Linked DNA regions of Tribolium castaneum. The protein of the gene in region 5 binds, or shares a complex with, the protein of the main gene of each other region. Links are inferred from orthologs where the notes say so. Each region holds a gene or a part of one and is shown on either strand. Other genes may lie near its edges. The genes, in order: rept, PHD finger protein 12, Eaf6, Brd8, MRG15, Ing3 and Tip60.

What was found.
Region 1: MRG15 (region 5) and rept share a complex: the UniProt entries of both Homo sapiens proteins name them as parts of the nuA4 histone acetyltransferase complex. The link is inferred for Tribolium castaneum from reciprocal best matches to the Homo sapiens genes MORF4L1 and RUVBL2.
Region 2: the proteins of MRG15 (region 5) and PHD finger protein 12 are in contact, whole or in part, in a cryo-EM structure (PDB 8BPA), measured with the Homo sapiens proteins. The link is inferred for Tribolium castaneum from reciprocal best matches to the Homo sapiens genes MORF4L1 and PHF12. Residues at the interface, in NP_996670.1 of Homo sapiens: Glu201, Lys204, Pro205, Leu207, Val208, Asp209, Trp211, Asp212, Tyr251, Ala252, Glu255, Val256, Gly259, Ile260, Glu262, Tyr263, Val266, Met267, Thr270, Gln271, Leu272, Leu273, Tyr274, Lys275, Arg278, Pro279, Tyr281, Ala282, Leu285, Arg304; in NP_001028733.1 of Homo sapiens: Cys62, Glu64, Gln81, Cys82, Asn84, Pro86, Pro204, Leu206, Arg207, Arg208, Pro209, Phe210, Leu212, Leu213, Ile214, Ala216, Ala217, Arg220, Asn221, Pro222, Thr223, Gln224, Phe225, Gln226, Leu227, Pro228, Glu230, Leu231, Thr232, Thr330.
Region 3: MRG15 (region 5) and Eaf6 share a complex: the UniProt entries of both Homo sapiens proteins name them as parts of the nuA4 histone acetyltransferase complex. The link is inferred for Tribolium castaneum from reciprocal best matches to the Homo sapiens genes MORF4L1 and MEAF6.
Region 4: MRG15 (region 5) and Brd8 share a complex: the UniProt entries of both Homo sapiens proteins name them as parts of the nuA4 histone acetyltransferase complex. The link is inferred for Tribolium castaneum from reciprocal best matches to the Homo sapiens genes MORF4L1 and BRD8.
Region 6: MRG15 (region 5) and Ing3 share a complex: the UniProt entries of both Homo sapiens proteins name them as parts of the nuA4 histone acetyltransferase complex. The link is inferred for Tribolium castaneum from reciprocal best matches to the Homo sapiens genes MORF4L1 and ING3.
Region 7: MRG15 (region 5) and Tip60 share a complex: the UniProt entries of both Homo sapiens proteins name them as parts of the nuA4 histone acetyltransferase complex. The link is inferred for Tribolium castaneum from reciprocal best matches to the Homo sapiens genes MORF4L1 and KAT5.

What each region holds. Positions count from the first base shown.
Region 1 is NC_087401.1:15,894,181-15,896,995, forward strand, and holds the end of rept (ruvB-like 2), read left to right. Parts: intron 1-660; coding exon 661-1,052; intron 1,053-1,100; coding exon 1,101-1,676; intron 1,677-1,725; coding exon 1,726-1,754; 3' UTR 1,755-2,072; downstream 2,073-2,815. UniProt on the Homo sapiens protein: Possesses single-stranded DNA-stimulated ATPase and ATP-dependent DNA helicase (5' to 3') activity; hexamerization is thought to be critical for ATP hydrolysis and adjacent subunits in the ring-like structure contribute to the ATPase activity.
Region 2 is NC_087401.1:17,011,410-17,016,032, forward strand, and holds the start of PHD finger protein 12, read left to right. Parts: upstream 1-1,499; 5' UTR 1,500-1,780; coding exon 1,781-1,828; intron 1,829-1,880; coding exon 1,881-2,071; intron 2,072-2,123; coding exon 2,124-2,377; intron 2,378-4,452; coding exon 4,453-4,623. Other genes in the region: bleomycin hydrolase, read left to right, coding at 1-274, 327-447, 862-1,086.
Region 3 is NC_087398.1:15,242,982-15,245,747, forward strand, and holds the end of Eaf6 (chromatin modification-related protein MEAF6), read left to right. Parts: intron 1-1,601; coding exon 1,602-1,846; 3' UTR 1,847-2,001; downstream 2,002-2,766.
Region 4 is NC_087396.1:10,839,958-10,844,669, forward strand, and holds the start of Brd8 (bromodomain-containing protein 8), read left to right. Parts: upstream 1-1,777; 5' UTR 1,778-2,178; coding exon 2,179-2,569; intron 2,570-2,690; coding exon 2,691-4,712. UniProt on the Homo sapiens protein: May act as a coactivator during transcriptional activation by hormone-activated nuclear receptors (NR). Isoform 2 stimulates transcriptional activation by AR/DHTR, ESR1/NR3A1, RXRA/NR2B1 and THRB/ERBA2.
Region 5 is NC_087400.1:991,082-994,584, forward strand, and holds MRG15 (mortality factor 4-like protein 1), read left to right. Parts: upstream 1-1,663; 5' UTR 1,664-1,774; coding exon 1,775-1,802; intron 1,803-1,851; coding exon 1,852-1,969; intron 1,970-2,020; coding exon 2,021-2,843; 3' UTR 2,844-2,877; downstream 2,878-3,503. Other genes in the region: INO80 complex subunit B, read right to left, coding at 646-1,041, 1,089-1,459, 1,507-1,510; uncharacterized protein LOC657630, read right to left, coding at 2,878-3,242, 3,292-3,503. UniProt on the Homo sapiens protein: Component of the NuA4 histone acetyltransferase (HAT) complex which is involved in transcriptional activation of select genes principally by acetylation of nucleosomal histones H4 and H2A.
Region 6 is NC_087397.1:1,047,759-1,052,219, forward strand, and holds Ing3 (inhibitor of growth protein 3), read left to right. Parts: upstream 1-1,521; 5' UTR 1,522-1,635; coding exon 1,636-1,663; intron 1,664-1,740; coding exon 1,741-1,812; intron 1,813-1,859; coding exon 1,860-2,005; intron 2,006-2,051; coding exon 2,052-2,251; intron 2,252-2,297; coding exon 2,298-2,541; intron 2,542-2,723; coding exon 2,724-2,887; intron 2,888-2,936; coding exon 2,937-3,162; intron 3,163-3,211; coding exon 3,212-3,328; 3' UTR 3,329-3,653; downstream 3,654-4,461. Other genes in the region: CAP-Gly domain-containing linker protein 1-like, read right to left, coding at 1-27; uncharacterized protein LOC103313454, read left to right, coding at 165-284, 324-485, 531-653, 695-867, 915-1,195, 1,245-1,471. UniProt on the Homo sapiens protein: Component of the NuA4 histone acetyltransferase (HAT) complex which is involved in transcriptional activation of select genes principally by acetylation of nucleosomal histones H4 and H2A.
Region 7 is NC_087402.1:5,803,168-5,807,598, reverse strand, and holds Tip60 (histone acetyltransferase Tip60), read right to left. Parts: upstream 2,756-4,431; 5' UTR 2,361-2,755; coding exon 2,310-2,360; intron 2,255-2,309; coding exon 2,197-2,254; intron 2,147-2,196; coding exon 2,078-2,146; intron 2,029-2,077; coding exon 1,195-2,028; intron 1,145-1,194; coding exon 982-1,144; intron 921-981; coding exon 704-920; 3' UTR 683-703; downstream 1-682. UniProt on the Homo sapiens protein: Catalytic subunit of the NuA4 histone acetyltransferase complex, a multiprotein complex involved in transcriptional activation of select genes principally by acetylation of nucleosomal histones H2A and H4.

The DNA.
Region 1 (2,815 bases), on a different chromosome or scaffold from region 5:
AAAAATTCAATTTTTCAGTTATTTTCAATCTCCACAAACAGAGGGAATAAGAAAATTTTATAATTTTTTTATTTTGTTCTTTCTTTTGTAATAATTTGACCTCACTTTTGAATTTTGTTAACTTAATTTTTTGGTTCACATTTATCTTTTATTTCGCCTTTTCTCTTTCCTAAGAGTTTGCAACGATTTTTTTTTATTTTCCAATTTTATTAAACATATATTTTATTAATTTTTTTGTTTGCTCACCTTTTATTCTTCTATTATAATCATTTGTTAATTACATTTTTTCGTCCATATTTTATTTATTCTTTTTCCCGTTTTCGTTATTTTGTATCGATTTATTTATTAAATTCATTTCTACAACATTTTTTTTTTGTATTGTACTTTATTCTTTTATTCCTTTCTTAATTTGTGCTTATTTTTGATTTCTCTTATTATAATAGTGTGCTTTGTTTACCTTTTTTTCTTTTTCCGATTTCTCCTAAACGGAAACGTCTTTAAACCTCTATTCAATAATAAACCACGCTTTGTTCGTTCTTAATCATTTGCTTTGAATTACAATCCTTACGAAACGCTTTTTTTGCCACATTATTGCGCCTTAATATCACCCAACTTTCACCATCAAGTGTGAGACCGATGCTTTTTTTTCCCCAACCAAAGGGAGGAGAGCGAAATAATCGAAGGTGAAGTCGTCGAAGTACAAATCGAACGTCCTGCCACCGGCGTTGGTACAAAAGTAGGTAAACTAATCCTCAAAACAACGGAAATGGAAACCGTCTACGACCTCGGTGGCAAAATGATCGATTCGTTATTGAAAGAGAAGGTTCAATCAGGCGACGTGATAACAATTGACAAAGCCACCGGCAAAATATCGCGTCTTGGACGCTCTTTCGCACGTGCCCGAGACTACGACGCCACTGGCCAGCAAACTCGTTTCGTTCAATGTCCCGAAGGCGAACTCCAAAAGCGGAAGGAAGTCGTTCACACAGTGACCTTGCACGAAATCGACGTCATCAACAGTCGCACGCACGGCTTCCTCGCCCTTTTTTCGGGTAATTACCCAATCGCCGCTTAAAGTTCCCTACTTTACCGACTTTCAGGCGACACCGGCGAAATCAAGCCGGAAGTTCGCGAGCAAATCAACGGAAAAGTGGCCGAATGGCGCGAGGAGGGCAAGGCGGAAATGATCCCCGGGGTGCTTTTCATCGACGAGGTCCACATGCTCGATATCGAGTGTTTCTCGTTTTTGAATCGCGCGCTCGAAAACGAAATGGCGCCGATTGTCATCATGGCGACCAATCGGGGAATCACACGCATCCGTGGCACCAATTACAAATCGCCGCATGGGATTCCCCTCGATTTGCTCGATCGCATGATCATCGTGCCCACGGCACCCTACGATGAGAAGGAGTTGCGCGAGATTTTGAGCATCCGTTGCGAGGAGGAAGACTGTCAAATGTCTGACAACGCACTGACTGTTTTGACACGAATTTCGAAAGAAACGTCACTGCGCTACGGCATGCAGTTGATCATGACGTCAAGTTTAATTGCGCGCAAGCGCAAAGCCCCCGAAGTCGATGTTGAGGACATCAAGAGGGCGTATCAATTGTTTTTCGATGAAGGGCGCTCGGTTCAATTTCTCAAGGAGTACCAACAGGAGTTTATGTTCAATGAAGGTGTGTTGGAGTGAGATGGAGGCAGCGATTGTTATTTTTTGTTTTCCAGATGACGCGATCGAAATGGACACGACTTAATCGCGTTACCTTTGCCTTGTGACACTTGACCCGGGAATTTTATTGACAGTTGGATTTCCCGCCATTTTTTTCGGTTTTTTTTTTTTTAGTTAATTGCATCGCGTTCTAGATCGGGTGAATGGTGAAATATTCAGGTGTGTGTTGAGAAATTTCCATGATGTTGTTTCATGCGAAATAATTGGGGGAAACGGCAATTTCGAGTCAAATTTTTGACGTTTCCTTAATCTTCTCGAATCAAAGTGTCACACTTGACATGTTTACATAATTCCGTTATTATGTAAGTTTGTGTATTTTTTGAATAAAATATTTAATTAACAAGTTGTTTTATGATTTTTCGACCTTACGACGTGTTACAACATGTGTTTAATTTGTAAAGTCGCACGAAATGACAAAGAACTTAACCCAGTTTTGGGTCATTAATCATTTTTCTAATCCAGTTAAGTGCGTAATTTAAGAAAAAACATAGGGAATGTTGAAATTACGTAACGATTGAGGAATTTGATTGAAACATCTTTGTAATGTTGGCAACTTGGCGGGTCAATGACCCGCAAATGTCAAGTTTTTGCCCAAATCAGGGTTGCCAGACGTAGATCTAGGGGAATTTTTATCCCCTAGGCAAAATAAGGACACAAAGACAAGTGCGAGAAATTTCTTATTTTCTTTTATTTTTTTTAATTTTTAATTCCAATTTCTTTTTTTTTTTTTGATCTATTTTTTATATTTTTTTTTTCTTATTTTGATCTAGTTTTTGTATATTTTTTTCTTTTTACAAAATAAAACTGCTCAAGGTTTATTTTTACTATTTCCCAAAAACTAACAATCATGCAGAATTCAGAATATGCTATTTATATTTTTCGTATACATGTATATTTTTTCAGAATTTTTTTATAAGAAAAATTATTGTAGTTTTAAAACATACGATACAATGTTACTAGCCACAGGAAATAATTCATTAAAAAAATTAAAATAAAAAAATCAAGATATCAAATTTTTTATTCAAAAAATTATTTAAGTATAGATATTTTATAGAAGCACTAGAATTTATAAAACTTCGACTAATT
Region 2 (4,623 bases), on a different chromosome or scaffold from region 5:
CGTTCTATGAAGAGCATGTGAAGCCTGTTTTCGATGTCGATAATAAAGTGTGCATAGTTACCGATCCGCGACCGTCTAACCAATACGGTAAAGTATACACAGTGGATTGTCTGGGGAATGTTGTGGGTGGACGTCCCTGTATATACAACAATCAACCCGTTGAACTTTTACTCGATGCCACGGCCAAGTCGATTAAAGATGGCGAGGCAGTGTGGTTTGGGTGTGAGGTTATGAAACGATTCGCCGGAAAACAGGGGATTTTAGATTTGAAAATGTAGGTTTTTTTTTGGTTGGTTGGGTTTGTGGTTATGGTTTTTTGGTTTTAGTCATAATTTTCCGTTGGTTTTTGGTGTGGATATTCAGACGATTTTGAGTAAAGCCGATAGATTGATTTATGGAGACAGTGCCATGTCACATGCGATGGTTTTCACCGCTGTGAGCTTGAACGTAAGTAGATTTTTATGTTGGCAGTGTTGCCACCTCAAACAAATATTTTTGATCACCCGGTAGATTGTATTCACACCGATATTTTTCCTGTTGGCAACACTTAATCACCAGAGATTTGGTGATTTTAGTGCTAATTTGCTTAAAATCGATAGGTTTTTACTTTTATTCGAGTATTTTAGTGCGTTTTTCCTTTACAAACGTAAATTTTTTATTAAAAGCCACAAAATTTCGCCAAAAATGCAGTTTTTCCAAGTCTAAACCATAAACTAAACCTTGGAAAATAACTAAAATAGAAATCTAGGAGCTTTTCAGCTCGGATCTAGTAGGCATGATTGTGAGCTGGCAGCACTGGACATGGCCAACTTAGAGCACAATTTTGACCAGACTCATTATTTTTTATTGTTTTTCTGACAGGAAAAAGATGAAGTGACGAAATTGCGTGTGGAAAATTCATGGGGTGAAGATCGTGGCGAAAAAGGCTACTTGATTATGAGTACTGACTGGTTCAAGGAGTACGTTTTTGAAGTGGTGGTTGATAAAAAGTATGTTCCTGTTGATGTTCTTGAAGTTTTTAAACAAAAACCGATCGTCTTGCCAGCTTGGGACCCCATGGGAACACTTGCCAATGTTTCATGTTAATTTGTATTTTTTGCTCCAATAAAATTTTGTGGCAATAAGTCAGTGTTTTATTTATACGGCGATACAAAGATAATATCTGTTTCAAAACTACAAAATTAACTGTCACTTGTCAATTAGTTTTTTCTTCTAACTAGTGGGCTTTTTTGGCACTAAACTGATCACCAGAGCCCGATTTGAACATAGAAAGTTTTTAGTTGTGACATACATGACCCCAAGAAATGTAAATGCGCCATTGCTTTTTTATAGTTTTGAAATAGCAAGTACATTAGGGAAGAGATTTTTTATTGGAATAATATCTCGCGATTGAAACTTGTGGTTGGAAACAAAGTCCGTGACTAATTCAATAATTAATTAATTCAGTTTTTGTAAAAATAATTAATTATTCGTGTGAATGAAGGGAATATTTGATAATGGCGCTGCTCGGTCGGTAAGTCGGTAAAAGTGACAGCTCGCGGCAAACACTGTCAAAAACCTGCCAAACGTTTTATAAATAAGCGTAAAAATTCAAGTGTTATTAATGAATTTATCTCAACCGATTGATCGTTTCGCCCCCATTTCACCGTCATCATAACCAAATTGCAGTTTTCAGTGCCATTCATATTTTCCCCCAACCATGTAACCAAAACCGAAAAAACCAAACTCGAGTGAGTGAAAAACCACTCAGTTCATTCCCACGCCACCGTTCTCCTCAGCAATGGCTTCAATCGAGTACGATTTGGACACATCTGGGGGTCTCATGGACGTAAGTCGCGCAAAATGGCGGATTTCCGCAGCCTTTGTGTGCGCTTTTGCAGCAAATCCAGGCTCTGATCGCGCCCCCGCAGTCCGAGGACACGAAATCGCGCAAGGGGGCCACCGCCACGGAGCACCCGTACTTCAAGCGGCCGGGAAAGGGGCACAACCACGACAGTTGCGACGCGTGCGGCGAAGGGGGCGATTTGATTTGCTGTGACAAGTGTCCGTCGAGTTTTCATCTGCAGTGCCAGTAACACGGGGACGCCCCGGTTTGTGGTTTTGGCTAAACGGTTGCGTTTCAGTGATCCCCCATTGGAGGAGAAGGATATACCGAGTGGAGAGTGGTTGTGTCACAGTTGTAAATATGCAAAAAAGAGCAATGCGCCCCAAACGAGGAACAAACGCTCGGCGTCCACGCCGGCGGGGAAAGCCCCCAAAAAGGCGAAAGTCAGTCCGATGGATTTGTTAATTCAGGCTGCGAGTTCAATGAATCCCAAGCAGTTTGATTTGCCCAGGAGTATGAGTGTACCGTGCATTTTTCCAGGGACTGATAAAGGTTTGTTCAGGTTGTTTTGTTCTTTTTTTCCATGAGATCAATTTTTTTTTTGATTTTTTTTTGTTGTTTAAATTCAACAAGGAATCAATTTTTGACACGGCCTGCTCTAATTCAGTTCATTTTCGATCACATGTTATAATTTTACAGCGTCAAGTTATAAAAAGTCTTTAGATCAACTCTTGCTGTGGAATTTAGATTGCTAGATTTTTATTGTCTTTGATAGATTATCGTTTTATTCTGTTGAAGTGTCAAACGTGCTACTTGCACGTATATAGTAACCGAAGAAATCAACATACCTTCAAAATTTCACAGCAAGAGTTGATCTAAAGTCTTTTTGAACGCATTATATAATATTACAGGATTTTTGTCAAAATAAAAACCACTAAACTCGCAGTTAAAAAAATAAAATCGCTTCAGACTGTTAGAAAATTAACAATTTTGTAGAAGTTATTTGATTTTTGATGATTTCTGGCTCAAAAATATCGAAACCAGGTGTTGGAAATTTAAAATCGCTTTATTCTATCCAACAAAACAACGTGATTTATTTGAAAACATTTTATTTTTTAAGATTTCTGCCTTAAAACGACGAAAATCGTAGTCAAAAATATAAAATCGCTTAAACAGTTTGGAAGAAAACGATTCATTTTGGACAATTTCTTGCTTAGAAACGTAGAGAATTGGTTGAAAACTCCGCATTTCGAACGATTCTTTGCTCAAAAAAAAAAAAATTCATAAAACTGGCTAAAAAAAACGGTTTATGTATTAGTTTGGAAGAAAACGATTAATTTTGGACAATTTCTTGTTTAAAAATGAGAAAACTCTGAGAATTGTCTGAAAACGGCTTATTTTACCTGAAAACGATATTTATGTTATAGTTTAGATAAAAATAAAAATTTGAGATAACGTTTTTGTTTTTTGATTTTCGATAATTTTTTGCTTAAAACGTTATCACCTATTGTCTAAGACCTAAAATGGCTTTATTCTGATGAAGAAAATAACAATTTGGGCATTAATTTAACGGAAAACATATAATTTCGGATTATTTCTTTTTCTCTAAAATGACAAATAATAATAATAATAATAATAAAAGCCTTTATTCAAGAAAAGAATGTGAGAAGGCAAAGTTTAGCTAACCTCTCACAAAACAAAACAAAAACATACATTTTTCAAAATAAATTAAAAAACCAAAACTAAAAATAAATGCGAAAAGAAAAACTTAAAATATTAATATTAGAAAATAATATAATTTTTAAATAATAGTAAAAGAAAAAATATGTGTCCTGAATACTTTGAAAAAAATAATAATAATAAAAATAAAGATACAAAATGAAAACAAAACAACAAAAGAATAATTATTCAATTAATAAAAAATTTAACTTTATTGCCTTGCTGCAGAAATTTTTTATTCGATTATTAATACGAGAAAAAAGGGTGCAGTTCAAAAGGGTTTCCCAAATTTTTGTACAATTGGCTTATTGTTTAAACTTGTTAAAAATTTAATTGATTGATTTTTCTATAAAAAAAAATATGTTCAAATCGCATAACTTTCTGAAGGTCTTAGCAACAATATAGCACATAAAATTGAAGAAAAAATTTCGTCTCATTTGAAAATAAAATGAAAAAAAAATTTTTTTTGCTCATTTTTTTCTGTAAGACAATGATTTCTTCTAGGAACAACATCCATAAAATAAAAAATTGAGTTAAGTTGTTACATAATTATAAGCCACTCTGAAAACATGGATTAAACAAGACTGTTACGTTTCACTTAGTAAAATCAATGTTGCAATTATTATAACAGCCTGTTTTATTGATTTCATTTTCATTTTTAATTTACTCTTTTTTCTAATCGATTTACTTAAATAATTTATTCAGCAGATTCTATTGTGTACTCGTTTCGTAAAACTCATTTGTAATTCAGCGTTTAAAATTCAGTAGTCACAAGTAAACGTCGATTATTGATTTAGTTTTGTCTTTGTCTTTCCGTCTGGTAATAAATACAAAATATTTTGCTAGAATTTTAACTTTAATTTTTGTACTTTTGTAGGCGTTTTAAATGTTGTATCTAATTTTTTCAGTCGAAGCCCCATATTCTCGCAACGGCCGCAAAAGCATGAAAGTCCACAAAGACCACGAGAAAAAACAAGATGCTACAATTTTCCTTCCAGCAAAGAAATGCCACGAATGTCGCAAATCTTGCCGTGTAGCTCCGCTAATATCGTGCGACTTTTGCTCCCTATACTTTCACA
Region 3 (2,766 bases), on a different chromosome or scaffold from region 5:
GGTGTTCAAACTGTCAAATACAGAATACAGCCAGTTTCTAAAGTGGTTGAACATGAACTTTTAGGGTGTTACAGTCTTTATCAGAATTTTGACACTGACAGTTGATTATACAAAAAAATTAACTATAGAAATTTTGAGCAGGGGCGTTCCAAACTGGAGGGAAGTAGGGTAAAAAATATCCTAACTATGTGGATTTAGTTTTGTAACACATGGGCTTTAAATAAATTCTGTACTAGTTCAGGATTAGTTCTAAAAATCGTTTTTGTTTGAGTTTCAGAATTTGCAAAATAATATTGCATTGAAATTGAAATTGAGGTGTATACGTACAGTGTCATTCTGCTAAAAGTATTTTCTTCCTGTGTCTCAAAACTCAATAATTACACAGAGAATTTTTCGGCAGTTCTTTATACATAATTTAAATTAATTAATATTAAGTCACTGACGAAAAAATTCTAATGATATTCTTTCTGAAGGGAACCATTAATAATAAAAAAATTGTTTCTAGCCACCAAAAAATAAAATTATTGTGTTGTTCATATTTTCCAACATTTTTAATTGTAATCAAACTGTAATTAAGATTGAACTTGTGATTTACTTTGCCAAGATTAACTTAATCGATGATTATTTTTTTTATCTATTTTTGCACAAAAATTTTTTCATTGGCTTAATTAAACTTTATTTTAAAAATTTATAGGAAAATTCCGAAAAAAAAATGCGTAGAAAGATTTAATTGATAGCAAACGCTCATCTTTATGATTTTAGCTTTAAAAATATACTTTTTTAGACTAACCCTGTAGAAACATCGAAAATTATGAATTTAATATAAAGTTGAAAAAAGAGTAAATTTCTAATGCCCCAGTGTTTTTTATATTAAAAAATAATTAAAAATGAAAATTGAGTTTTAAGTTAAGGGTAAATAGGTCATAAATACCTAATTTTTAGTAGCGTTTGACGCCTGTCATATTTGAATTTAGTGTACGTTATTCTAATTAAGTCAGAAAAAATTCCCATGCTGTAACTTGATGACTATAAATGGAAAATATTTACATAATAACAGTGGGGCAAAAATGCGGAAGTAATCCGTAAATTAATTATGGCCCCAGCAATTTAAAAACCATTGATGTCAACATAATTTTTCTAATGAACGCTTTTTAGAAATTAATTGTGTCGGAAAATTTGCTTGTTTACCGTGGAATCTCTCTCATTTTTAAAGTTACTTTTACTTTTTCATATTTTTTGTTTTTTTAATAATTGTATCCTGCCTCCTATTCACTTAATTAGCAACTAAAATTTTGTGATAGTCTATAAACGTTGTTTTTGGCGATGGAATGTAGACATTTTGTAATAACAGTCGCCAGAACAATCGGTCATTGTAACGCGTTTTGTAGTAATTAGTTTGGAAATACCTTAACAGAAAAATTTACAAGGCCACTGATCCGATCTACTTACATTGCACAAAATCGCCGCTTTTATTCATCGTTCATTTTTTCAGCCGAATGATTTGGCAATTAAATTGCTAAAACCGTCTAGTTTTTCTGTACAGGTATTACGTTCAAGCAGTTACTTTTTCAAGTAATTTTAGTTTTATTTTTTACTCGTAGTGGAGCCGCACAGCGATACTGAATCTCAAACTAATGGAGATTCTAGTGATACTAACTTAGGTCCTAATTCGAACCATATAGATTCTGGGATGAAAAATGCAGGAAAACACTCGACGAATTCCTTGAATGGTGTACAGAACGGGCTTGACCATCGAAATAGCCCCAATAGAGACGTTTCGGCCAAACAGAAAAGTTTCAGTGCAAGTGCTAAAAAAACTAATAATAAGAAAGCTAGACACAGATGACTTTTTGTGCTGTTTTCTCAACCTATTTGTGTGTGTTTACAGTTTTAAGGTTTTTCAATTGTGAGTTTGGAATCTAAGTACCTGCATATTGAAATTGTACACTTTTTACCGATGTAATTGTTTGGAACAATAAATAAAATTATTCAGCAATTAAATGATTTCCTTCATTCAAATAAGAAATAAGTACGGTAAGTGTATGTGTCTATAAATTTAAGTATTTATGTAAGTTCAACTTTCTTTAAATTGTTTTATCTTTTCAACACTCATTGCTGCATTATAAAATTGTCTGCTCGTAAATGTCATTTTCTTAGTTTTTATTACGCTTTTGCGTTAGAAATTATTACAAGGTATTAATTAATTAGACGAACATAAATTATAAATCGTATAAAGTAAATAAACTTTTTCTTGTGTAAGATTTATGTCAAAAACAAACACAAAGGTGTGCGACTAAACTCCAAAGAAATTGTAATCTCATTACTACACCTCGTTTTTTCGGATTATGTTTTTTCTATTAGGTGAGAGAATCCGATCATTAGCGTATTAGAATATCCGTTTAATTTTTTTGCGAAAGTATTTGAAAAATCTTGTTTCTTATACAAATGGTTTTGTAATATGCCAGACGTGTTTAGTAAAAGCATTTCTCTCCACAAATAACTAAGGAATTATTGTGATTCTTAAAATCAATCTTTGATCCTTATACCGTTGATTCAAAAATCTTTTAAAGATGTTTTTTGTCAACGTTGGTATTTTGACAAAAAATGGGACGACCAAAATAAGGCTGATTTAGGTTTTTCATGTTAGCAACAATTCTTGCTGTGGGTTAAAAATAGATTTAAACCTTTATTTGATTGGACTATGAAAAGAAACAATACTGTAGGTGAACATATTTTTATAAATAAAAATATAGAAAACTATATTCA
Region 4 (4,712 bases), on a different chromosome or scaffold from region 5:
TATAAATACTCACGATTACCTTTTGGTCAAATTGATTTGGTGTAAATTTAATCAGCTATTGTGTGCTTGCAAAAAGTTAAACTTGAACAAAAATGTATGGTACAAGAATTCAATTAACTTTCCATCCCAGTTTTTATGTAAAAATAAAAATCAAAAATATCATCCACGATTGTTTTGTTACCATTCTAGGTAGATTTGTCGCGTTATATGTATATTTTATGCCACATGAAACTATTTCGTTTGTAAATTGTATAATGACGTTTGTTTTTAATATTGTACAGTGATTTTTTATTAAGTAGTTGACTGAACTATTAAATAAAGCATATGTGTTAATTTAGTTATGTTGCATCAGTGAATTGACTAGCTTAGATACGATTAATTTATTTTTAGTTAAGTGAGTTTTTAGTGATAAAAGAATGGAATTAGCAGGGAGGATGATCTCATCTTGTCTGAATAGCATAAAATAGCAATAGAAAAGTGTACATTGACATGCTTTTATTTTCATCCGTTCACGATGCAACATTCATAGAGTACCTATTTATAAGTAGAATGTAAAAGAATAATGAATATCAATTATATCATATAATTTATGTTAAAATAGGTTTCACAAATTCTTGCCATGATGAATCCTAGCCTAGACTGAAATTATAAATATTGCTTTGTTACGTAATGAGAGTAGAGTATATGAAGTGTTTTAGTTGTAAAGGATGTAGTTACACACACTTTAGGGGTTAAAACTGCAATTCTGTAACGAAGTCTGTTATATTTTTACCGAAAGTGCTCATGCTGTTATCAAATTAGGTGACGTAACTTTGGGAAATGCTTTTGACGATGAGAGCGATTTTAACAAAATCATTTCTTATTCACAAAATTACGATTTGTTGAAAATTTCCTTCACAGTCATATTCACCTTATAAGTAGGGATTTTTTTCAGAATCATGTAAATAAATGTAGAAAAGTGCCTATTTTAAATTGCGCATCGCTACCCTCTTGGTCAACTATTAGAGTAATCTCAAATTATTTAATGTTTTAACTGTTGTTATAATTTGGTTTATAATTGAATAAAGCTGCATTTTTACAGTTTGCCCGCATTTCCTTCAACACACAAAAACATTTCAAACAAATTTATTCAACTACTATGTTACAAAGTAAACTATCATAGCGTGAAACACAGTAAGAGGACCGCAAATCCCAGACGCTCATACTGATTCATGATTATTGCAGCAACGCCAAAACGAAAAGCCGCTTTCATAACTCTTGCATTCCAAAACATTATTATCAGACGCAGCCAAGTTGAGGAAGGTCTTGTCACACTTGTCTCAAACGCTGGTGCATTCACCGGCTTGTCGTTTTTTCCACCACTTTTATGAAACACTCCATATTTGTCGATGTAATAACTGATTCGCCCTTCGGGGGCCATTCTGAATACTGTTTCCACCTTTTTTTTTTTTTTCAAAGAGTATCCTTACATTTGATTGTTATGTATACACTCACAACTTCTTTTTTTACTTCACTTTGGGACACTGGGTGGAGCTACCACCAGAAACAGCTTCCAAAGCATTCGAAAAAAACATTTTTTATTGCATTCCATTCGCAAGAAAGTGAGGTTAAAAATTTGACAACTTGCCACTAAAGTAGCTACCGCGCAAGCTACCGAAATACTTAATAACAGAATATGCCATAAAATTCGACAAATACAAAAAGGTGGCCACAATCTATATGTATTTGATAACATTAAACCAGCTACACCCAAAATACACTAATTAATTAAAAAACAGTCATTAAATTAATACTTTTCGATCATAAAAGCCCTCGTCAAAAATCACGGTCTGTACGTAATATCTAATAATGTCTGCGTATGAAATTTTCAAGATTATTAATTTTTATGAATAATAAGATCTTACGAAATTATTTAGACAAGTGTGCTTGAAACATTACATAATCTTACACTGATTGTGGTTGACTTTCTTTAAAAATCAGGCAAAACTTCTGCATAGTTTGTCCAGGTTTGACACTTTGACAGTTGACAAATATAAACAACGTTCAAGCTTGTTATAACGATAATTCTTGTGTGCGAATTTCTACTTCAAGAATGTTTATTCAGTGATACTATTAGTCACTTTCCTGGCAAGGTTCTTGTATTTGATTTTTGGACGTTCGGGCCAACATAACCTCAAAATGAGTTCAATTGAAGAACGTTTACAAATAAAGCGTGAACCGCTGGATAAATGGTCAATCCGTGAACAGTTGGCTCTAGCAGTGGCTCGTAACATGGACCAGAATTTAACAAGTGTGAGCCGAGCTTTAAAACCCTTTGGTGAACCCAACAGACCCCCTGATTGGTTCCACCAGAAGAACTGTGCAGCCCAGTATGGGGCTCTTTTAGCGAATGTTGAAACACCTAAGAGGAAGAAAAGAACGTCTGGGGGCGAAGTCACTATCGAAACCCCCGCCGAAGTCATTCTACGCAAACTTTTGGCCGAGAGACAAGCTGAGCTCAAGAGACTACTAGCGGAAGAAAAAGCAGAATATCAGAAATTGCAGAGAGATAAAGCTCTGCTTCAGTCAGGTATTCACAATTAAATTAAAGTTGTTTGAAGTTACAGGGGCTATATTAGAGCCTCTCAAACTTAAGACTGTTGCGGAAATTCGGTTAAGTATTTTTTGATAATTAATTGTTTTATTTAAAGGTAACGTAAGTGAAGAACAACTGGATATTTGGTGTAAGGAAATAGATGAAGAGGAACACAGGAAGGAACAAGAAGCCCTGGCACACGAACAGTGGCTAAAGGAGAGGGAGTTACGAAAACAGGAAATAGAAAGAGCGTGGAGACCAGTTAAGCCATCCCCGGTGATTGGTCAAAAACGTAAAAATTCCGAAGCTATGGACACAATCCCAGAGATGGAAAATACAACAGAAGAACAGAAAATCCTAGTGCAGGAGCCCCCTAAACCGGCCCTATCGCCACTTCTGACAAGTCTTCTGAAATCACCATCACAAGTTCCAAACGTTACAACTTCCTCAATATTGCATTCAGCGATTACCAACCAACGGCCAACCAACACAACTACTAGCCCCATGATTGCCAGTCTTTTAAGCTCCTCAACTGGAGAAACAGTTTCTCCAGGATTGCAACTTTTGGTTAGTACAGCTATAGGACAAGAGCCAACCGGAGAAGAAACCCAACAACAGAATGTCAATACTAACGATATCCTCGATGATGCCAATCTACAAATTTTGAAAATTGATGACTTGGCGAGCAGTATCTTGATCCAGAATGGCCCACTTCCAGAAATAAAGAATGACGTTGATGTTATCATCTCCGATTTGATTGAGAACGCGCAGGATATAGTTGCAGATCCGGAACAGCATCTACAACTGGATGGAAACGGTGATCTTAATCTAAATTTGGAACTGGAAGATTTCGAAGAGAGTGAAACTGATATGAAGGACGAAACCAAAGAAACAGAAAAACGGACGGAAACTACAACACCGGCAATAGATCCGTTTGAGTTCCAAGAAGATCCGGAAGTTTTTGAACCCGCTAAACCTGCAACAGCCGTGAAAACAGACGCTTCTAAAACTATGGTAGCACAGGACAGCGACGATCGGTCACAAACTACTGACGAAGCCCCAAATTCAGACAATAAACACTTAACTTCAAATGGCGAAGAATCTCGGGATGAACTGGTAGAAGTAAAAAACGAACCAACTGATGATTCCGATAAGAAAGATAAAAGCACAACTCCTGGATCCGTCGAAATTGTAGAAGTTGTAGTTATGGATGATGAGGATACTGACAAGGAAGTCAATAAAACTGAAGATCCAGCCCATTCCGTTAAAGCGGAACCAAAGAAAGAAACAGCAGGGGAAAGTACAGAAGTTGCGGAAATAAAATCAGAAACAGACGCCAAAGTTTCAGAAAATGAAAAATCTAGTGTAGAGATTGAGAAGAAAGACGAAAGGAAACTGGACGAGTCAACCACATTGACTTCCGACTATAACGAGGAATTGTACGACGATATCAATATGGAAGTGAAAGTGGACAAGACCGGGAAAGCAAAGCGCGATTATTCCAGGACGAAGAAGAAGGACGATAAAGAATTTGATGTTCTCTTGGCCATTGAAAAGGCGCAAAGAGACGAAAGTGAGTTGGTTGAAGAGAGTTTCTCTGACCGGGATTACAGCGAACTGGACCGTAAAGACAGCAAATCGCGGATTAAGAGCGAGAATGAAAGATCTAACAGTCCCTGGACGGAGGAGGAAGATGTGTCTACAATACGGACAAGGAGGCGACTTTCAACTCCTGCGACTCCGATTGATTCAGTTCCAGGATCACCAGTTTCCAGTATATATTTTTACGATGATGATCGGGAGTATCGCAATTGGAAGAAGTCTATAATGCTTGTGTATAGTAGATTGGCTGCAAATAAATACGCGTCACTGTTTTCTAAACCGATCACCGATGACCAAGCTCCAGGGTATCACAGTGTGGTGTATAGACCCATGGATTTGTTGACGATTAGAAAGAATATAGAGAATGGGGCTATAAGAACAACGCAGGAGTTTCAAAGAGACGTCCTTCTTATGCTTAATAATGCAATTATGTATAATAAAACAAATGATACGGTTTATAATATGGCGAGACAAATGCAACAAGAGTCGATGCAACAAATACAGATTTTGTTGCAAGCGCAATCGCAGGATTTGC
Region 5 (3,503 bases):
TGTATTTATATCGTCTTTAGTTCAGAAAAAATAAGCTTTTCGAAAATGTCATAGCCAACTATGATTCCCATTTAAAAAAATACAACTTTATGTTATTACAGTTAAACGAATTTTTGAAAAAAATCGCTGATAACATTACTAAATTCTCCGGAAAAGAGTGCTTGTATAATGTCTTTGTTTCAAACGTGTATCTTTTATAATAAGAAAGATATGATTTTTTTAAGATTTCGCTAAAATGTCAATTTTTGTTTATAAGTCGAAAACAAAAGACGATCGGGAGATGCGGTTTTGACCCGAGAATGTGTCTCTAATTTTTCTCTAACCTCTTAATTTCGGACACCCAAAAAGCAGCACCCTGTACAAACGAACAGTACCTTAAAGTTTATTTGTTTAAGATGCACAAATTTCGGGGAAGTTTCCCGCTAGGGGCGCCCCACACGTGCCAAAATAGGTCAGATAGACAGAGTCACATACAATGTTTCCTTCCGGTAACAATAACTGATCAAAGTGGCCTGTGATTGGCTCGGGCCACTTTGATTCGAAAATTAATACGCGCCATCCAAGTGGCCTAGTCACAACCCAACAAATGTAAAACAAATAAATTACCGTATCTCTGACTCAAAACTGGCCTTTTTTCCCTTCCCCTCACAAAATCCGACTAGCGATATTCCTTTTATAACACGTTAGACTGCACAGCGGTGCATTTGTCCGCGAACAGGAGTATTTTTTCACATTGCCACAGCCCATGCTACACAGTGTGGCTTTCGGGGGCTCTTTGCCCCCCGCCCCCGGCAAGGGCCAGTCCATCCCTTGCGGGAACGACACTGTCGTTAACCCAACATTCTGACGGTACAAAATCATGGGGGTTTGCGCTTTGGTGATTTTGTTTTTCGCCGCTTTGGCCGCCTTCGACTCCTGCTTTTTGAGCAGCCTTTCCATCGTCTTCTTCTTATCCTTTTCGCGCTTTTCGTCCGCCAGTTGTTTGCGTTTCTGCGACTTGATCGCCGCTTTTTGAATCGCTTCGGCCGTCATGACCTTCTCCTAAACCAACAAGTCTAAACTATTTGAATTGAAACAAACTGAATTACTTTATATCCAGTCGGGAGCGACATTAACGTGGGGGTGGTCACAGAGGGGCTCCCGTCCACCTCACGCTCGTACATGGCGCGCTGTCGCGCCGTCATCAAGGCCGGGTCCTTCGGCTTGATTTTCTTCAATTCGTCGTCAACATCCTCAAGCTTCCCGGACTCGATGGCAGTGAGCCACCGTTCCTCGTCACTTGAGGCACTGTCGCGTTTTTTGCGCTTTTTATTACCAGAGGACGATGCGGACGGGGGCTTGTTCACCGGCGACTTGGTTTTAGCACCAGACTCGTCCACTATGAGCAAATCACCGGAGGTGTCGTCCTCCGGCAAAGGGGGCCTCCGCTTAACCTTACTTTTCTTCGATTTCTGCAACTCTAAACCCACGATAACACGATCAGGGGGCACATTTAAACAAACTCACCCATTCCAAGCCAAATTCAAACGCCGTCTAAAGCTAGGTTATGTTGACAAAATGGCGTGACCGTAGCCACTTCTGGCTTGTAATCAATCATAATTAACTAACCCTGGCACAATTTCGCCCCAAATCAATCATCAAGCAAATAAATGTTTCACAAAATACAATAAATAACAAATAAAGGCACCGGGACGCGTTATAACCGGCACAAATGTGCCGGTAGCCACAACCAACTGTCAATTGTCAAAACAAAAAAAATTGTTTGAAGCCGAAAATGCCCCCCAAGTTTAAATTTTCCGAAGGTAAGACACGTGGTCGCCCCCTTAAGCCGCCCAAACACCCCTTTTCCAGGCGAGAAGGTTTTGTGCTTCCACGGCCCGTTGATTTACGAAGCCAAATGTCTGAAGTCGACCATAACCAAGGACAAGCAAGTGAAGTACTTTATCCATTACGCTGGTTGGAACAAAAAGTGTGTAAGTGTTTTCGGGGGGCCTTGTAATTGACAGTCGTGTGTTTGCAGTTGGGACGAATGGGTGCCCGAAAGCCGTGTCCTCAAATACAACGAGGCCAACGTTGCGAGACAAAAGGAGGTGCAAAAAGCCCACTCGACTCAACCCAGCAAGACGAAAAAGGCCAAGAAGAGTAAAACCGACGCCACGAAAGACATTGACTCGAGATCTAGTACCCCAAATAATGAACTGATCAAAGGGGGGAAGAGCAAAATAAGCACACCGTCGAGTGGGCAAGACTCGGGTTCAGACGTGCCCCGGAAGAAAAGGGGGCGGTTGGACCCCTCGGTCGAGTCCGAGGAGCAATTTTTGAATAAGGTTGAAATCAAGGTTAAAATCCCTGACGAGTTGAAACCTTGGTTGGTGGACGACTGGGACGTAATTACCAGACAACGAAAACTCGCAAATTTGCCGGCAAAAGTCACAGTCGAGCAAATTCTGGACAACTATCTCGCTTACAAGAAGTCAATCAAGTCGAATAATTCCAGCAAAGAGTCGGCTACGATTGAAATCGTCAAAGGCATCAAGGAGTATTTTAACGTGATGTTGGGGACGCAACTTTTGTACAAGTTCGAGCGGCCCCAGTACGCCGATATCTTGCAAACCTACCCCGATAAGCCCATGTCTGAGGTGTACGGTGCCACTCACTTGCTCCGTCTGTTCGTCAAGCTGGGGGCCATGTTGGCGTACACGCCCCTCGACGAACGCAGCATCCAACTCCTGCTCCAGAACATCCAAGATTTCTTGAAATATCTGGTCAAAAACAGCGCCCAATTGTTCAGCCTGCAAGACTACGGGAACGCCACACCTGAATACCACCGCAAGGCGCTTTAATTGTGATTATTTTATTAAAAATAATAGAAAAGCATTAGTCGGTTTTTAAAAACGGGGCCCAACTCTCGCTGGGGGCCTCGGGCGGGGCGACCCACCCGAGTGGAATAGCCGAGCCTGAGGCGTTCCCCGGACTTAGAAACGTGTCCCAACTTTTCCTTATGGCGATAAATGTCTCCAAGTCGCGGTCGGCGCTCGTTAGAGCCCAGAAGGTGGGGTTGTTGACGGGGGGGTCTCGGGGGCCGAATAGGAGGGACTCCCAGTCGTCGACAATGCGGGTTTGTTTGGCGGCGATCGCCGCTTTGGAGTCCTTACTGGCGTTGTGTTCCAGCATCACTTTCAAGCATTGCTCCTCTTTGCAGTAGCTCTGGTACGAGTTCTCCCACATGCGAATTAGTTTCTCTGAAAGTTTAGTTATGTAGAAGTGTTTGTCTTGTTTGGCCAATTTTACCCGTGACGTGCCCGAAGGCCTGCCTGTCCTCCAGCGACAACTTGTCGCCCCTTTGCGTGGCCATGGCGTCTCTAACCGTCCGCAACTTAACGAGCGCGGAAATGAGTGAGAGTTGCTTGCGCGCTTCCGATTTCTTCTTCGTCACTTCGTACAAAACACAATCGGCGTCTCTCTTCATCTTTTCTTCCATTTTCGCGCGTTCCACTTCGTCC
Region 6 (4,461 bases), on a different chromosome or scaffold from region 5:
ACTGGACTCGCTATTGGTGTCTGTCATGTTCGGAAGCGAAAAATGTGTGCATATTGTTCGGTAAATACGAATAAATTTACAAGTCGTTCTTTAATTTTTTCCACGATTGGTCATTACTGTCATTTTGGACGTTTCCGCTATCAAGTGTCTAAATTCGCATCAAAATGAAGAAGAAAAGTAAAAAAGTGTTCAGGCCTTGTAAAATTCCCAGATATTTGATTGGGTCGGTTAGTCCCCAAGTCATTAAAACAGACTTGGCAGAATATAACGCACACAGATATAAGGTAAAAGCAGAAGCTTCAGGCTTGGTTTACTCCCGTTAGGTTTTTTCAGCGAAACCGAAAACTGATACCAAACCCCTCCCCATGAATCCGTTCAATTATATCAACCTTCGAAAGTTACGGGCAGACGCTGAGCGGTTACAAATGATTGATAAGGAGAATAAGCAGCTCCTTAAGTCCATAAATACGATAAATAGGACCATCGTAAGATTTTGATTTTAATTGTCTTGAAGTGAATTTTTAACGTAGGGAAAAATTGATTCGTATAATCCTGAAGCCTATGCGTCTAAATCGAAATGGCACGCTCACGTTATGAGGATGAAGAGAATTGACCGCAAAAATAAAGCAATATACGAGAAACTGATGGCTGCAGTAAGCCCAAAAAATTAGTTTCTTTATTTAACAGTTAACAGACTTCCAGTTACGATTGTGAGTCGTTACGTAAATTCTGGACCAGTATTATTGAAAAATTGAAACTAACTTCCAAATTCCCTTTGGTCATCCTTCAGAAAGTCTCAGTCGATTCAGTTATTGCAAAACAGCCGTCAATTAGTTGCGGACTTGAGAAATTATCAGAACGGCCCCGGTATAATTAAAAAAATCAAACAATGACTTAATTAATTGACCCCGAAGGTGTTTTTTGGAATTTCAAGTGCTAAATGGCCCAGTTCTGGGCCGCGTAGAGATCGAGCTTTATCACGACCACGTCCCTGTCACAGTCCAGAATTTCTTATCAATTTGCTGCGGTGAGAACAAACAGAACCTTTCGTATAAAAACTGCCCAATCAATCGAATAGTTCCGGGCCGTTTTTTGGAAACTGGGGACATAACTAAAGGGACAGGACGTGGTGGGGTGTCAATCTATGGTAAATACTTTGCAGAGGAAGGCCACATGCTTAAGCACACGAAACCTGGTACAAAACCCGAATTTAGTTTACGAAAAATTCCTGAGTGTTGTTTCAGGAGTTTTGTCCATGGTGCGTGTCCGCAAACACGATAACAACTCGCGCTTTTGTATCACCTTCACGAAAATGGAACAGTTGGATATGCAGAACGTTGTGTTCGGTTATATTGTGCGAGGGGCTGAGAATTTGTTTAAAATTGAGGGGTATGGCCGCAGTATCGGCAAGCCTTTAGCCCCTGTAATCATCTCGGACTGTGGGAAATTGAATCGGGCGCTTGAGTGTTAGTGGTTTTCGGGGCGTCATGTTGTCGTTTGGAATTAAAAATGGCAGTTTCCTTCCATCAAATTGTGTGAAGTTTGCAGTTTCGGGTTTATATCAGGAAATAAAGTCGTAATTAAACACGTATTTACTTTATTATTTATTATTCCGTACCACATTAATACAGCAAAATGTTGTATCTGGAAGATTACTTGGAAAGTAAGTAAATCAGTTACTTTGGCGTGGCATTGACGGAAACGCCAATTGTCAATGTGGCGCTCAATTCGAATTTTTAGTGATCGAGCACCTACCTCAGGAATTACGGGACAGGTTTACAGAAATGCGAGAGTTAGACTTAACAGTGCAAAGTAAGAGTTTGATAGTTAGAGTTGATTAAATAAATTATTAATTGTAGATAACATGGATGAGTTAGAAAAGCGGGTGAAAATTTTTTTCAATGATTGTAAGCGCTATCCCGGTGAATTACCGCCTGCCATTCAAGTCGAGTTCGAAGCTGTGAAAAAAGAGTACAAAAAGACGCTCGAGGACGCAGATGAGAAGGTAGTTGTGGGGTTGTGTGACCACTTAATGATAATTTGAATCAAAGGTGCACCTCGCTAATCAAATGTTTGAACTAGTTGATAAATACCTGCGCCGGCTTGACACAGAACTACATAAATTTAAATGCGAACTAGAGGCAGACAATAAGGGCATAACTGAAGTTCTAGAAAAGCGGTCACTGGAGTTAGACACTCCAGTTAATTCAACAAATTCATCCCAACAACAAAAAGAAAATAGATACGAAAGGTGGTTTTCATTTATGGGAACGTAATCTTTGTTAGTGCTAATGTAGTTCTAGCAGCTTTAGATATCGACAAAGAAGCGAAAAAAGACGGGATAGTAGTAACTCTTTGCAGACCTCATTTGCCGAAAAAAGACAAGCTGTTGCCCCCATACCTCTCGTCGAGACCCGGCATAGTTCAATAGGCCAATCAACGCCCCCAGCTCAGTCTAACGTTACTTATAATTTGGGGCACATAGGCGCGGGGCCTGCCATTGCGGCTGCGGCCTCACAGGCCATCGCTGCCACTCAACAGGTAAAAAATCACTAATTTTATACCATTTTTCGCCTAGAAAATTGTCAAAAATAATCCATTCAATCAGTGGTGGCTGTTAGGACACGAGCCGGGGCGAGTGTCGTATTAATAGCCATTGAGTGCGACCTACATACACTATTTTTTCTACGACCTTGATATTTTATACTATACTGTTTGATCAGATGCAACAAGGCAGGAGGACAGCAAGTCTTAAGGCCTCGTATGAGGCGATAAATACAGGAAGCCATGGTCATGAGTTTAGTATCGGGCGCGAGTTGGCTGGGGCGGCGCAAACGGCCATTCAAGCCATCCAACAGGACCATGCCAATAACAAGAAGAAGCAAAAGTAACGATTTTTCCCATTTTTTTTGGTTAAATTTAATTTTGAATTATAGGAAATGGTCAGGTGGTAGTGCTAGCGCACCTTCGGCGTCAACAACAGTTCAACAAATATTAAATGCTCCGCTTGCTAGTGCCGCCCCTGAATCACCGTCAATAGATGTGTCTTCACAAAGCGCGGAAGTAACAGATGGGGAGTGGACTTATGACCCCAACGAGCCTAGATATTGTCTCTGTAATCAGGTTTCTTACGGAGATATGGTCGCTTGTGATAATGAAGACGTAGGTTCTGTGAAATGTTTCTGGGTGTGTTTTATTATTGTTGTTTTAGTGTCCAACTGAATGGTTTCATTACCCATGTGTTGGTATTACTGCACCGCCAAAAGGCAAGTGGTATTGTCCACAGTGTTTAGCGTCAATGAAACGTAGAGGGAGCCGAAAAAATTGAATGTGTTGATAGAGAGTTTAAAAAGGCTTGTAACAATTTCTCGGAGGCGGGAGAAAAGAATCAGAAATGAGTGAGCTTGTGCAGGAGAAAATGTTAGGGAAATTCGAGATTATTTAATCTGTTTTTTCCACAGAAACGGAATAGTTGTAAAAATAAAAGTATTCAACTGTCATTGTGTTTTTATTGTGATTAATGATTTCCTATTTAATATTAAGATCTTGTGTAATTATGAAAATGTAATATTTATGTATGCTCAACTTTTTACTCTTAAATAGTATTGTAAACCGATTTATTACGCTTATAAATTATAAAACTTGAACAAGAACAGAGTTTTATTTGACACATTTCCTACCCTATCCTTTTTAAGACGTTTAATTAACTTTACTGGACATTGATAACTGAATAAACTAATCACACAGATAATAAGTACATATAAGCAAGGATCAAAATCTGAATTCCAGTCTAATGTAAAACAAAATAAAGCAACAAGAGCGTAAACACATTAGATATTATAATTTTGATACATGAAAATTAATGGAATCGGTAGTTTAACCCACTTGAAAAGGGAACCAGCTCAATATTCGAATTTTACGGTAAATAATTTAAATATTACATTGCGAAATATGTATGTACATTTCCATGCACAGCGACCATTTGCACCGAGTTTTACACACATTACCTAATATTTCCTTGTAAAAATAATAATTAATTAAAAACGCACCTAAAATCTAATGAAGGTAACGAGTAGTAACGAAAATATCAGCCTGAATGCAAGCGAAATTGCATGCCGTGAAACGGTCGGATTTGTAAAAACCCTCCACCTTCACTCACGCGTACCATTTTTCCGAGTCACCGAAAGCCATGCAATTAATCAGCAAAGTCATAGGGTCAATAAATCGTGAGTTGTGAAACGAAGGTCAGAAATTTCATTTTCGAATTCGATAAAAAATTCAAATCATGCTCGTTGTTGCAAGGAAAAAATTACGACATTCCAATGCGAGCTAGTTTTGCCGTTGCAATGTCAGGGTTTTCACATTGCATTGATGGACTACGATAACAAATCAACAATGGGGCAAAAGTAAAGAACTTTGTACATCGGTCAGATTTGATGCAATTAGTGCATCGATATTAAA
Region 7 (4,431 bases), on a different chromosome or scaffold from region 5:
TTCAAACACCTGCATTCAATGTTTTCATGGGTAGAAAAAATGAAATACGATTGTTGAATAATGGTTCAATAATCCTATTTTAATAATTCTGTCCATGAGTACACTGAAGCATGAAAAATAATAATGGTTTAAAAATAAGAACAATAAACAAGTCTTGTGACATGAGAGTCTTTGATTAACCCACATCCTCTCCCATCAGTATTATAAACAAACCCAAAACAAAATATTACACAATAAAACGTACGAATAAACAACGGAAAACGTTTCATTTTTTTATTAATTGAAGATTAGTTTTGCAATCGCAAGTTCATTGATTTCAAAATTCACAAGGTGATGAAAAACGACTAAAACGTTTGAAAAGTAGTCCACTTTAACTCACACTTCGCTTTAATAAAAATAATTCGACGATTTTCAGAGTAAAATCTGACAATTGCGAAACTAGTGAGTTTCTAAATAAAAAATATGCGTAAACGCAAAAATAATACCACTTTCGACTTAATAATATCTTGGACGTAAAATGTGCCAGTAAATACAAACAAAATGCATTTTCGTAAAAAATGTACTACTGAACCCGGTGTTTTCTCCATGTTTCTCCGTCAAAACACAAGTTCGCAGTGTTACTATTATTAAGTGAGGAGGAACAGTGTGGATTGGCAGAGGAATATGTTAATAAAAGAGAAAATGTAAAAAATCATTTATTGATCTACCACTTGGCGCGTTTGCCCCAATCTTTAGGTGTCCAATGCAGACACTTGGGGTCGATTCGGATAAGTCTACTATCCATGGCTTTTTTGTGACTTTGCATAATTTCCTGATTTAACGTTATAATATACTGGCCTTTGTAATAATTGATTAAGTTTAAGTTTTGTAAAGTTGAGATGACGTCTTCTTTTTTAATACTTGTCAACTCACAAATTTCACTTTAAAGTGAACAAACATTTCACAATTACGAAAAATAAAGAAATAATCAAAAATACTTACTTGATCGTTATTTGTGGCTTCTCGTTATCACCCACTGGCTTCATTGATATTAAGATTTCTAAAATAGCTTGTGCCCAGTAACTCCTATACGAAAGCAAACCCAAATCGGAGAGAGGTTTTTCGGGAGAACCCGTTTTACCTTCGAACTTTGATAATTCATAACCTGAAACAATTCGTGAAATTTCGACAACAAAAATTCGCACTCAAACTCACTAAATTCGATTAGTAATTTTCCGTAACCCTTTCGCTGATACGGAGGCATGGTTAAAATACACGCGACGTTAAAATCTTCCGTTGATTCCTTCTCTTTCGAAAAATAGCCAACAATGTGAAACCCTCTATTATCAAAAATGGTCATTACGTAAAACAAAAACGGGTCCGTGTCGTAATACAGTGTTTTATGATCGAGGAACAGCTTCGCCAACAAACACAAATTCTGGGCGTAGACTTTATTTTTCCGCCCGTCAATTTCAAAAAACGAGACGTTTTCCTTGCGATAAATCTCATTTCCGGGCGGGTGTCTCAAATTACATTTGACCAAGTGGCGTTCTAGACACTTCCTGCTCTTTCGGTACTTGAGGCAAAACTCGCAGATGTATATACAGCTCAAGTTGACCATTTCTTGCGGATATGGCGCAAAATACCACGGCTTTATCCTGTGTTTCCCTAACTCGATCATATCGATGTTCTTCATCCTGGTGACCACATCGTCATGGTGCGACACCATGCTCCCAGACTGCCTCGGCCCTGGGGGCATCTGTGTGGGCCCATCTTGCGAGTCTTCGCTCTCAAGAGACGGCCCTTTTCGTTTCCTATTTATGCGTTTTTGCAACGCTGCTGCTAGGACAGCACTGCCGTTGACAAGTTCGGAGGCAGCTGTCACAGGGCTCGAGGGCCTTGATACCGAACCGATGGCACCACCGCCCCCAATGTGAATTTTTTTCGGAGTTGAGACTCCAGTGTTACTCCCGCCGTCACGTCTCGGGAAGTGGACTTTACGAGTGTCGAGCGATTCTTCGGTCACCCATTCGTCCAAACGCTTGTTAACTAAAACCCAAGTTAGTTCACAAGGAACGAAACGGGTGTCCAATCTTACAATCAACGTAATGGACGTAGTACAATTTCGAGCCTTGCACGTCCTTAATACTGATAATTTCGGCCAAAGCTGCAATTTAAAACATAAAAACGTGCAAAATGTGCCAAAGTGGGGCTTACGCCAGTCGGAAGTGCCGGTCATGTGAACCGGGAGCCTGCATCCTTCCACTAACGAATTCTAAAAGTGAGGTTGTGTCAACATTTTGGTTTTGCAATTTTTAATGAAAATATACCACAGAATCACAAATTGTGCTGTCGTCGATTTCCTCCATTTCCACTTTCATCGATTCTGCTTGTTTTTCACAATTTCGGGGGGAAAAATTGTAATTATTGCCGAACAAACCTCACCACCACAACTACCGCAAAAAACATAATGCGCAATATCCATAACGATTTTTTTCCATTGCATAATTGTTATCCAAAATAATGTTTTGATGCGACTTATCTGTATATGCACATTCGGCGAACCGAAACAATACACACAAGTGTCTACTATTTAATAAATTATCATTATCTAGTCATGGGCGTAGGGTGTTGCTCGGGGGTTTCCCCCGAAACCAGCACACTCGATAAAATCACACAATTCCATTCTCAGACTCATTGTTAAATTAACGCCTCACCAAGCTTTGTTCACAAATTGGTGATAACACGTTTGACCTTAGCTTCGCTTGAACGCAGCGTTCTCCTAATCGCAGCCCACAGTTCAAACGGAGTTTCGCCTATTTGCTCTTGGATTCGCAACAACTCGAAGAAAATTTGGACGAACTAGGCAAGGACTGTGCAAAACGAGAAGACATAGAGTCGATTATTTTGCACCACAACCAACTCACAACGCTCCCCAAAAACTTGTCAAAAGTCACAAACGTCCAAGTCCTCCATATCAGCAACAACGGCCTTATGACCTTACCTGATGTTTTCGAGTACTGGCATTTAACAACACTGGTTGCGAAAAATAATCGCTTCAGTAACGAATCCCTCCCGAAAAGTTTCGCTGAGAGTGCGAGCATGCAGGAGTTAAACCTGAGCGGGAATGTTTTCGAACAGTTCCCGAACAACTGTTTGAGTTTACTAATTTAAAGTACCTGTACCTAAGAGGGAATAAAATTAAAACAATACCGAAAAACATAAAGAAATTAAACTGGTAAGTGGGGACGATTAAAACGACCACACGTGATAATGATTGCAGCCTTCAAATCTTGTCGATGGGTGGCAATCAATTAGTGGAAGTTCCTTCAACTCTAGGCCAACTGAAGCAACTGCAGGCTTTGGTGCTTTGCGATAACTTAATCGAGAGTTTGCCGTCAAATATCGCCAATTTGCACAACTTGAAGTCGCTCCAGTTGCACAAAAACAAATTGCGCACTTTGCCGCCTGAAATAATCGCGCTGAAAAATTTGACTGAGGTAACAAATAAATCACCTTTATGTAAAAATAAAATTCGTTCGTCACAGCTGAGTCTCCGTGATAACCCCCTTGTTGTCCGTTTTGTGAGCAACATAACACATAACACGGCTAGTCTGAAAGAATTGTCGGCTCGTGTGATAAAACTTTTCGCACCAAAATTTCACATTGCCAGTTTCTGTTTAAATAAAAATATGCATTTTTATTTTTCCATTGACTGCATGCGAAACTTTTATAATTTTAGACGTTTATAGGCAAATACATTTGTCATAATTAATTTTTCTAGATCAATGCTGTTCTATTTTGAATAATTCTGTGTATGAATGTTACTAAATTTGACGGATTTTGACAGTGAATATTTCTGGTAATGACCTGTTTTAGACTTGTGTGACGTCACATCCGTGACGTGTCCCGAGGTTAGGTGTGCGGCGCAGGCGGCGAGAGCGCTTCAGTCGACAGCGAGCAGCGGCACGGGTCAGATCGGGAGCGGGACCGGGAGGCGGGGCGAAGCGAAGCGAGGTGAGGTGAGGCGGTTTATTTAAATTATTGTGTATTGTGCCGTTTCGTTCAATTTATTCAGTTTGTTACTTGCCGTTGTCGCGAACGGACGTATGTTCAAGCAAATCTAAATTTTCCGGTTTATATTTTAAATTCGGTGACTAGTGATCGCGTTTGAGTGACACATTTTAAATTCAGTAACTATAAGTAAAATCAAAGCACTCAAATAATTTATCGTCGCGTACTGATTTTGTCGTTAATTTCAATCGATGAAAATAAAGTCACTTGCTCTAAATTTAATGCAAATAAACATTTTTTTTTGGTTTCATTTTTATTAATATTTCTTTTAATGCTACAAACGGTAGCCAACGTGGAAGCGATACCCAGGTACGTCCATTTTATTTTTGTGTCGTATTTGTTTATTTCACAAACCAATAATTCCTTAAAATTTAATTG